Canis lupus familiaris: one gene and its partner. The protein of the gene in region 2 purifies or fractionates together with the protein of the main gene of each other region. This does not show direct contact. Links are inferred from orthologs where the notes say so. Each region holds a gene or a part of one and is shown on either strand. Other genes may lie near its edges.

What was found.
Region 1: the proteins of MLF1 (region 2) and DNAJB6 purify together in Homo sapiens (affinity purification with mass spectrometry; 3 studies listed by BioGRID and IntAct, counting the BioPlex papers as one, with this or other methods). This does not show direct contact. The link is inferred for Canis lupus familiaris from reciprocal best matches to the Homo sapiens genes MLF1 and DNAJB6.

The regions. Positions count from the first base shown.
Region 1 is NC_049237.1:20,508,712-20,512,969, reverse strand, and holds the start of DNAJB6 (dnaJ homolog subfamily B member 6), read right to left. Parts: upstream 3,092-4,258; 5' UTR 2,988-3,091; intron 2,560-2,987; exon of another isoform or gene 2,510-2,559; intron 1-2,509. UniProt on the Homo sapiens protein: Has a stimulatory effect on the ATPase activity of HSP70 in a dose-dependent and time-dependent manner and hence acts as a co-chaperone of HSP70. Plays an indispensable role in the organization of KRT8/KRT18 filaments.
Region 2 is NC_049244.1:52,483,181-52,486,982, reverse strand, and holds part of MLF1 (myeloid leukemia factor 1), read right to left. Parts: intron 1,831-3,802; coding exon 1,720-1,830; intron 419-1,719; coding exon 290-418; intron 1-289. UniProt on the Homo sapiens protein: Involved in lineage commitment of primary hemopoietic progenitors by restricting erythroid formation and enhancing myeloid formation.

The DNA of each region.
Region 1 (4,258 bases), on a different chromosome or scaffold from region 2:
GGAGTCCCAGGAGTCCTACATCAGGCTCCCTGCAGGGAGCCTGCTTCTCCCTCTGCCTGTCTCTGCCTCTCTCTGTGTGTCTCTCATGAATAAATAAATAAAATCTTTAAAAAACTAAATGGTCAAAAAAATTTTTTCTCCAAACTGAGTTATCCATAAGTCATTTTCTCCATTTAGGCTTTAAAATAGTCTTTCCAGGGCAGCCCCTGTGGCCCAGCAGTTTAGCGCCGCCTTCAGCCTGGGGTGTGATCCTGGAGACCTGGGATTGAGTACCACGTCGGGCTCCCTGCATGGAGCCTGTTTCTCCCTCTGCCTGTGTCTCTGCCTCTCTCTCTCTCTCTCTCTCTCTCTGTGTCTGCCATGAATAAATAAATAAAATCTTTTAAAAATTAAAATAAAATAGTCTTTCCAGGGCACCTGGCTAATTCAATTGGTAGAACATGTGACTCCTGATCTTAAAGTTGTGAGTTCAAGCGCCGAGGTCAAGGTAGAGATTACAATTAGTCAATCGTCCTTCCATTCCTACATTATAATTTCTACCACTATTCTTATCTTCACCAACCTTGCTGTTCTTCTCATTTACCTCCTGAATTTCAAGTTCTCACAAATCTTATTTATCAAAGAGAAACGACAGCATTTGTTAATTCCTGTTGGCCACTGTCCCCATCCTAAATTCCCTAATAAACCTGCAATTACGCCTATTTCACCACTAGGTGGTGTTCTGAACAAATTTAAAGCAAACCAGAGTTCTCAGACCACCCCCACTCTAAATTTTAGATTTCCAAGAAAAAAAGCCTTTCTAATTTACAAATAGAGGCTGATTCCATTCACTTAATCCTTACCATCCTGCAACAGAAAAGGCATGCAATCACCCTCAACCCTTAACTAACACAGCAGATGACCTGTAATGGGCAGTCCCAGCAACTGTGGAAGGTAACAGAACATCACCAAGGTAACAGTAGTACACTGCAACCCTGAAAAGTGAATTTAAAATAACTCACTAAGGGCGGCTGGATGGCTCTGGTCAAGATCCCAGGGTCCTGAGATCTGGGATGGAGCCCCAGGGCAGGCTCCCTACTCTGCTTCTCCCTCTGCCCTTGCTGAGCTCACTCTCTCCAATAAATAAAGCAAGCCTTTAAAATAAGTTAAGTAAATAAAATTATAAACTTACTGAATTTTAAAGTGCCCTCTTAAATAAAACAAACTAAAAAATATGCAAACACCATCCCCTGCCCCAACCTGGTTTTTGAGTTTGCGAGTCAGAAACTACTAATGGTAGGGAGTAGAATCGTTTTAAAAGTGTCCAAAACAGGGGAGCCCTGGGTGGCTCAGTGGTTTAGCGTCTGCCTTCGGCCCAGGGTGTGATCCTGGAGTCCTGGGACCGAGTCGCGCATCAGGTTCCCTGCATGGAGCCTGCTTCTCCCTATGCCTCTCTCTCTCATGAATAAATAAATAAGATCTTAAAAAATATACATCCTTTAAAATAAATAATAAAGATGTCCAAAAACAAAGTGAAAACAGAGGAAAATGGTTCTACTCTTAATATTTACACCTACGAAAAATAATGGGCTTGCTGAAAGACAAAAGCTATTGTGTGCCACTTAATTGCAGGTGTACTATCATTCCTCGTCCATAATTTAGTCTTCAGAATATTAAACACCGCTCTCCACCCAGCCCTCCGGATAAGTCTGTCCCGCAGCCAGAAAAACCTCTCAAATACACCAATCTCAAATCAAGGAAACAAATTTAAAACACAGATTTTTTAAGTGGGTGCTGAACTCCTGTGAAATCCCCTAACTGCTCCTTAAGTCCCAAACCCTAAGCAACAAGTTGAGGCTTAGGCTCAGCCCACCCCACCAAGCCAATGTACTTCCCCAACTCCCATGCGCCTTATCCAGAACATTCCACCACTTACCGGCTACTATGCATAAAAACCACACATCCTTTTGTTACACAAACACGCAAGTACTAACCCCAAAGTAGTTAAAAGTGCACATTATGAACTTCCCAGGGAACCGGGGGTTGGGGTATCTGGGAGACGCGGGAGGGAAGCACAGTGCGGAAACATTTGGACCCGCATCATTATTCGACACGATTACAGCAGAAAAGCAGCAACAAGTTCCACGGGCTTGCTAACCCCTCCTCTCGCTGGCAGCCGACTAGTCCCGGCCAGAGCCGAACCTCCCCCCCCCCCCCCGCCCCCCTGCCAACCCCGGGCTCGCTCGAAGACCTTCCGGGACCACACGGTAGGCCACCTACCCTCCGTGCCTCAATTGTCCCCTTCCTTGGGCACAGGCTGACGTAAACCTCACTCCTATAAATCATGACACACTCTGAAGCAACAGACCAAACCGGCTGTTTGGGTGAGATCCGGGCGTTTTGCTCATCCGAAAACTTTTAAACAATTAGTGGGAAGTTCCGGGAACGCGGCTTCGCGTCTCCCGGAGCCGCTTCCTGGTCTCCGTGTTCGGGGCGTCCTCCCCCAGACTGCCACCCTCTGCAGACCTACCTCGTCTCTGGCTTTGGGGTCATCCACGTGGGGCTTTATGAAGAGTAAAAACCTGCCTTCCCGCGGCGGGGCCCCCGCCCAGCCCGCCCCCCGCCCGAGCCCCGGCCCAACCGCCGGCGCGGGGCGAACCAAGGGCGAAGGCCGCCCCGACCCCGGGGCCCGCCCCCGCCCCGGGCCGCGACTCCTGACCCCGGCCCCGCCCCGGGCCGGGCCCCCGTGCACCCAGCCCGACGCCCACGCCCGCCGCCCGCCCCCGCCGCCCCGGCCTCACCGCCGGCCCGGGCCCCGCCACCCCCACCCGCCGCGCCCGCGCCCCCGGCCCCGGCCCGGCAGCCCGCAGACACCCCAGCCCGACGCTCACCTCGGAAGGCCGGCCCCACGGCAGGCCCCAGATCCCCGACCCCGGGCCCGAGCCCCCCGCCCCGGCGCGGCCCCACACCGGTCCCAGGCCCGCCCCCCGCCCGAGGGCGACGCTCACCCAGGACAGGGAGCCGGCGGCGGGCAGGAGGCGCGGCGGGGCGGCGGCCCGGGTCCCCTCGGCTCCGGCACAGCGGCGCTGGCAGCGGCGGCGGCGGCGGCTCCTCGCGCTTTCCTTTCTCTCCTTTCTCCGACAACAAACAGGAAGTGCGTCACGCGGCGGCGGCACGGCGACGTACACTTCCGCCCGGCCCTGACGCCGCGCATGCGCCCCGCCCCGCCCGCGTTCCCGAAGGTTCGTCGAGGCCCGGCTTGGGCGGGGGTGGAAGGGAAGGGCCAGCCGCGGCGTCCCGGCGCCCCCGGGGGTGCTGTCCCGCGCCCACCCCACCGAGCGGCGGCCGTCACACACACTCAGCCTGGGCGGCCGGTCAGGAGGCCGGGCCCGCGCCCGCCGCCCCCCGCGACAGTGCTCTTTGTCGTGTCCCCTCTAGTAGCAGGAAAACAAGGTGACCGCGGCTCCAGGGACCGCAGAGCCTCCCCTGCCCCCCTCCTGGAACTGACCCCCACCCCCACCTGCAGAGCCTCAGCTGCCCCCCTCCTGGAACTGACCCCCATCCCCACCTGCAGACCCTCCCCTGCCCCCCTCCTGGAACTGACCCCCATCCCCACCTGCAGACCCTCCCCTGCCCCCCTCCTGGAACTGACCCCCACCCCCACCTGCAGAGCCTCAGCTGCCCCCCTCCTGGAACTGACCCCCACCCCCACCTGCAGAGCCTCCCCTCCCCCCCCTCCTGGAACTGACCCCCACCCCCACCTGCAGACCCTCCCCTGCCCCCCTCCTGGAACTGACCCCCACCCCCACCTGCAGAGCCTCAGCAGCCCCCCTCCTGGAACTGACCCCCATCCCCACCTGCAGAGCCTCAGCTGCTCTCCTCCTGGAACTGATCCCCACCCCCACCTGCAGAGCCTCAGCTGCTCTCCTCCTGGAACTGACCCCCACCCCCACCTGCAGAGCCTCTGCTGCTCTCCTCCTGGAACTGACCCCCACCCCCACCCCCACCTGCAGAGCCTCAGCTGCCCCCTCCTGGAACTGACCCACATCCCCACCTGCAGAGCCCTAGCTGCCCCACTCCTGGAACTGACCCCCATCCCCACCTGCAGACCCTCCCCTGCCCCCCTCCTGGAACTGACCCCCATCCCCACCTGCAGAGCCTCAGCTGCCCCCCTCCAGGAACTGATCCCCACCCCCACCTGCAGAGCCTCAGCTGCCCCCCTCCTGGAACTGACCCCCACCCCCACCTGCAGAGCCTCTGCTGCTCTCCTCCTGGAACT
Region 2 (3,802 bases):
CTACTTACCTGGGCAACATGTAAAGGTAATGATAAACATCAACAGACATTCACATGAATAAAAGGCATCGGAGGTCGGGGTGAGGGGAGAAAGAAATGGCTTTAAGTAAGTAAATACAGTCATTAGCATTATCGTTTTTCATAGTATCACTTGTTGCGGTGATACGTGTCTTCCTCCCTCATCCCTACCCCCGGGGTACCAGGTCAAGCTTTAATGATTAAAATCTGATACGGGCGATCCATCATCCCACAAGTCGATAAGCTCCAAGAAATGCTCAGAAACTACTCACTCCGCCTGGAGCCCTACGGGTTTGAGTTGAGGCCTGGAAAACCTTCGGTGGTTCATCTCCTACTTTGGAGTAAGTCATGACTGAGGAAGAACTAAACGAATGTCCATTTGGATCCAGTGAAAGGTGACCCTGGGGGCAAATATAAATCGTAAGTCCAGAGAGTTTAGTCAAATATGCAGAACTGACGTCAGAGGAGTCAAGTAAGTAACTATAGTAACTAACGTTCTTCTAGGGTCTCCATACTGTCGTGTGGTATAGCCAGTGGCACCCAGGCAGGTCCTCACTTGTACCAATCCTCACCCTTCTTGTGAGGAAAACAACAAGAAGTGACTCAGAGATCTAAGTCTTCGTGATCAAAGACTGCGGCTTAGGTTTAACTTTAGATGCTGCGCCCTGAAGCCTGTGATGCTTTTAGAGTCAGTGGTTGACACGGGGCGCGAGTTTGCCAACACCCGCCAACGAGCCATATGCCAGCAAGTTCTATACCTCCTGTGGGTGCCAGATTGAGCTAGATTACGAAAATCACTGATAATGCCCTACATTTGGGCATTCTAAAATGATCCTTAAATTCTAAACTAGATGACTACAATAGTATGAGTCTTCTTCATATTAAATCAAGTTATTTTTTTGATGTTAATACCATGAGTAGAATAAGAGTATTAACACTGGCTTATAACCACTTGGACTGTATGGATCTAATCCCATGCCCAAACATCATTCCTGAAATGTCTGTTTTCATGTTTAAAAAAAAACAAAAACAAAAACAAAACAAAACAAAAAAACACTAACAGTTAATTTCTTAGCTGTTATAAATCCCTTTTTAAAATTTTTTAAAGATTTATTTATTTATTTATTTATTTATTTATGAATGATAGAGAGAGACAGAGAGGTGCAGAGACACAGGAGGAGGGAGAAGCAGGCTCCATGCCGGGAGCCCGACACGGGATTGCGCCCTGGGCCAAAGGCAGGCGCCAAACCGCTGAGCCACCCAGGGATCCCTATAAATCCTTTTAAGTAGATAAGTTATAAATAATTAAAAAGTCTAGATTCATATAAAACGTTCATTTATATAATAGTGACCTTCCACGCAGTATAAATGTTTGAGGTATTTTTTTCTTAATTTTGAAAGTTAATTACTGTGATTTTTCAGACTTGTAGGTTGTGAAATCAGTTTGGTGGGTTGTGACCAGGATTTTTAAAATATGAACTGAAATAGAAAATATAAGCACACACCGTAAATAGCGTGGTCATTTTCTCACAAAACTTGGGTTTCAGGTTTACCCGTCCAGTACACGAGTGTCGCGTACTGGGTCGTACTGTAAGATCTACGTTTCAACCGCCGTGGACCATGACTTTCAGAAGTTGAAAGCCGCTATCGTATGGGGGTGCCGACACCGGAACAAGGTCCTCATCAATTTCTCAGTACTTACGAGGTCCCTCTGTAACTCGTGCATGCTGTTTCGCATATTCACCATCATTCGGTCCATTGCCTGGAAGGGGCTGACGTCCGTGCGCTGCAGGATATTGGGGCGTGTTAGTAACTGTGGGCACAACACAAAGGAAGCAAATCAACTTTCCCAAAACAGCTGAAAACGTCTTTCTGTGGATTCACGCGGGGGGCCTCATGCAGCCTGGGCCAGGCGAAGGTGGTTAAGGGCCACAGCAGAAAGCCACTCGCTAAGAGCACGTGCAGCACCTCACGCAGCCAGCATGTAAGTGAGGACGGCGCTGCGGCCCCGCACCTGCACCTGCACCTGCACCTGCACACGCACACGCACGAGCCCATAAACACACACTCACCAACACGACTTCTTAGAACCCAATCTAGTCACCACTTCAGTCCTGTGGCTGCTCTGGGCGGGCACAACTCCAGCGCCGACGAATTTTCTAGCGTCCCCTTGGCCGCCCCCAGCTGCGCGTGCAGAGCGCCCCGCGCCCCCCGTGCCCCCCGCGCCCCGTCCCCGAGCTTCAGGCGGGAGGAGGGCCCGGAGGTGGCTGCGGCGGCCCCGCGTGGCCCGACCCGCTTCCTTTGGGGCAGGGTCCAGGGCGCCCCGGGGCCTGTGGGCTCCCGGGCCCTTGGGGTCACGCTCACCTGGGCGCGGCGGGAGCAGGAGGAGCCCCAGGGCCGCGAGGGCGGGCGCCCGGGACAGGAGCTGTGGGGCCGCGGGGCCGGGATCTGCTCTCGGTCAGGGAAGCCCCACGAGGGCTTAGACCCGAGGCCCGGGTGCCGGCGTGTGGCCGCCGCGGGACACGGGGCACAGGACACGCAGCCCGGCCCGGCCCGCCGCCTCCCCGCCTGGGTCTCTCAGGGGTAAATCCTAGGTCTTTATTTTATTTTTATAGATTTCATTCATTTATTCATGACAAACACACAGAGAGGCGGAGACCCAGGCAGAGGGAGGAGCAGGCTCCACGCAGGGAGCCACAGGCGGACTCGATCCCGGGACCCCGGGGTCACGCCCTGGGCCGGAGGCAGCACCAAACCGCTGGGCCCCGGGCTGCCCGATCCTAGGTCTTTAACGGAGAAAGGCCCCCCCACCTGTGCCCCGCCCTCGGCCGCCTCCTGCCCTCGGGGCACGTCCCCTGCTGGTCTGGAACCCCTGGCTCTCGGCCGCCCCACAGAAGGTCCCGGGAGGCGCCTCCCCGGGCCCAGCAGCACCCACCGGCTCAACCGACACATCCTGTCCCCCGCAGCCCAGCCCCGCGCTCAGCTTCACCAGGCGCTTCCACCCCACGGGGCAGGGGCGCCTCCGACCCCAACAGCCCAACCGAGACGGCCCTTCCGCAGCCCCAGGCCCCGCGCCCGCCCCGCCGCTGCTCCTCAGCTCAGGGGCATCCCACCTAATGCCTCCTGCCAAAGAAACGGGCGAATACTTTCCTTTTCCCTCTTTACTCTCCCTTCAACCCAGGAAGCCCCCAACTTTTACCCATTTACCTCTTGAACTTTCAAATAAGACACCACAGCCCCTGCCCAAGCGGAACCCATGAGAACAGTCCCCAGAACCCTTCAGCGGCCTCCTGGCCTCCCTGCCTCCACCCTGCCTCCACCGCAGCCCCTTCTAACCTCTGCTTCCCCCGTTCCTAAGATAATGCCCACAGACCCTACCGGGACCGTAATAGTCCCTGGTTACCCTCCTGCCTTTACTCCCCAGCTCACGCTCCAGGGCGCCGAACATTTTTCTCCCCTCCCTGCTTTTCCTGCTAACTCCTCTTATCCATAAGGTTCCAGAAATCTTCTCCCATTAACCTCCATGCCACCACCCCAAGAGGTCTGGGTAACACGCGTTTTTCTATCTGCGCTCCCGTAGCGCTCGACTTCGGATCATTTTACTGGAAACTCCGCTATAACTGCTTGTTTAATCTGTCATTTGTCTCCTGAGAACGTGATCAGGAAGGACAAACGCGCTGTGTCAGGCTTCCGGCAGACAAATGACCGAAGTCTAACACGACACGAAGAAACTTCCTCATAGGAGCGGAGATGCGTCCGCAGGAGACGTTCCAAAGTCAGGCTGC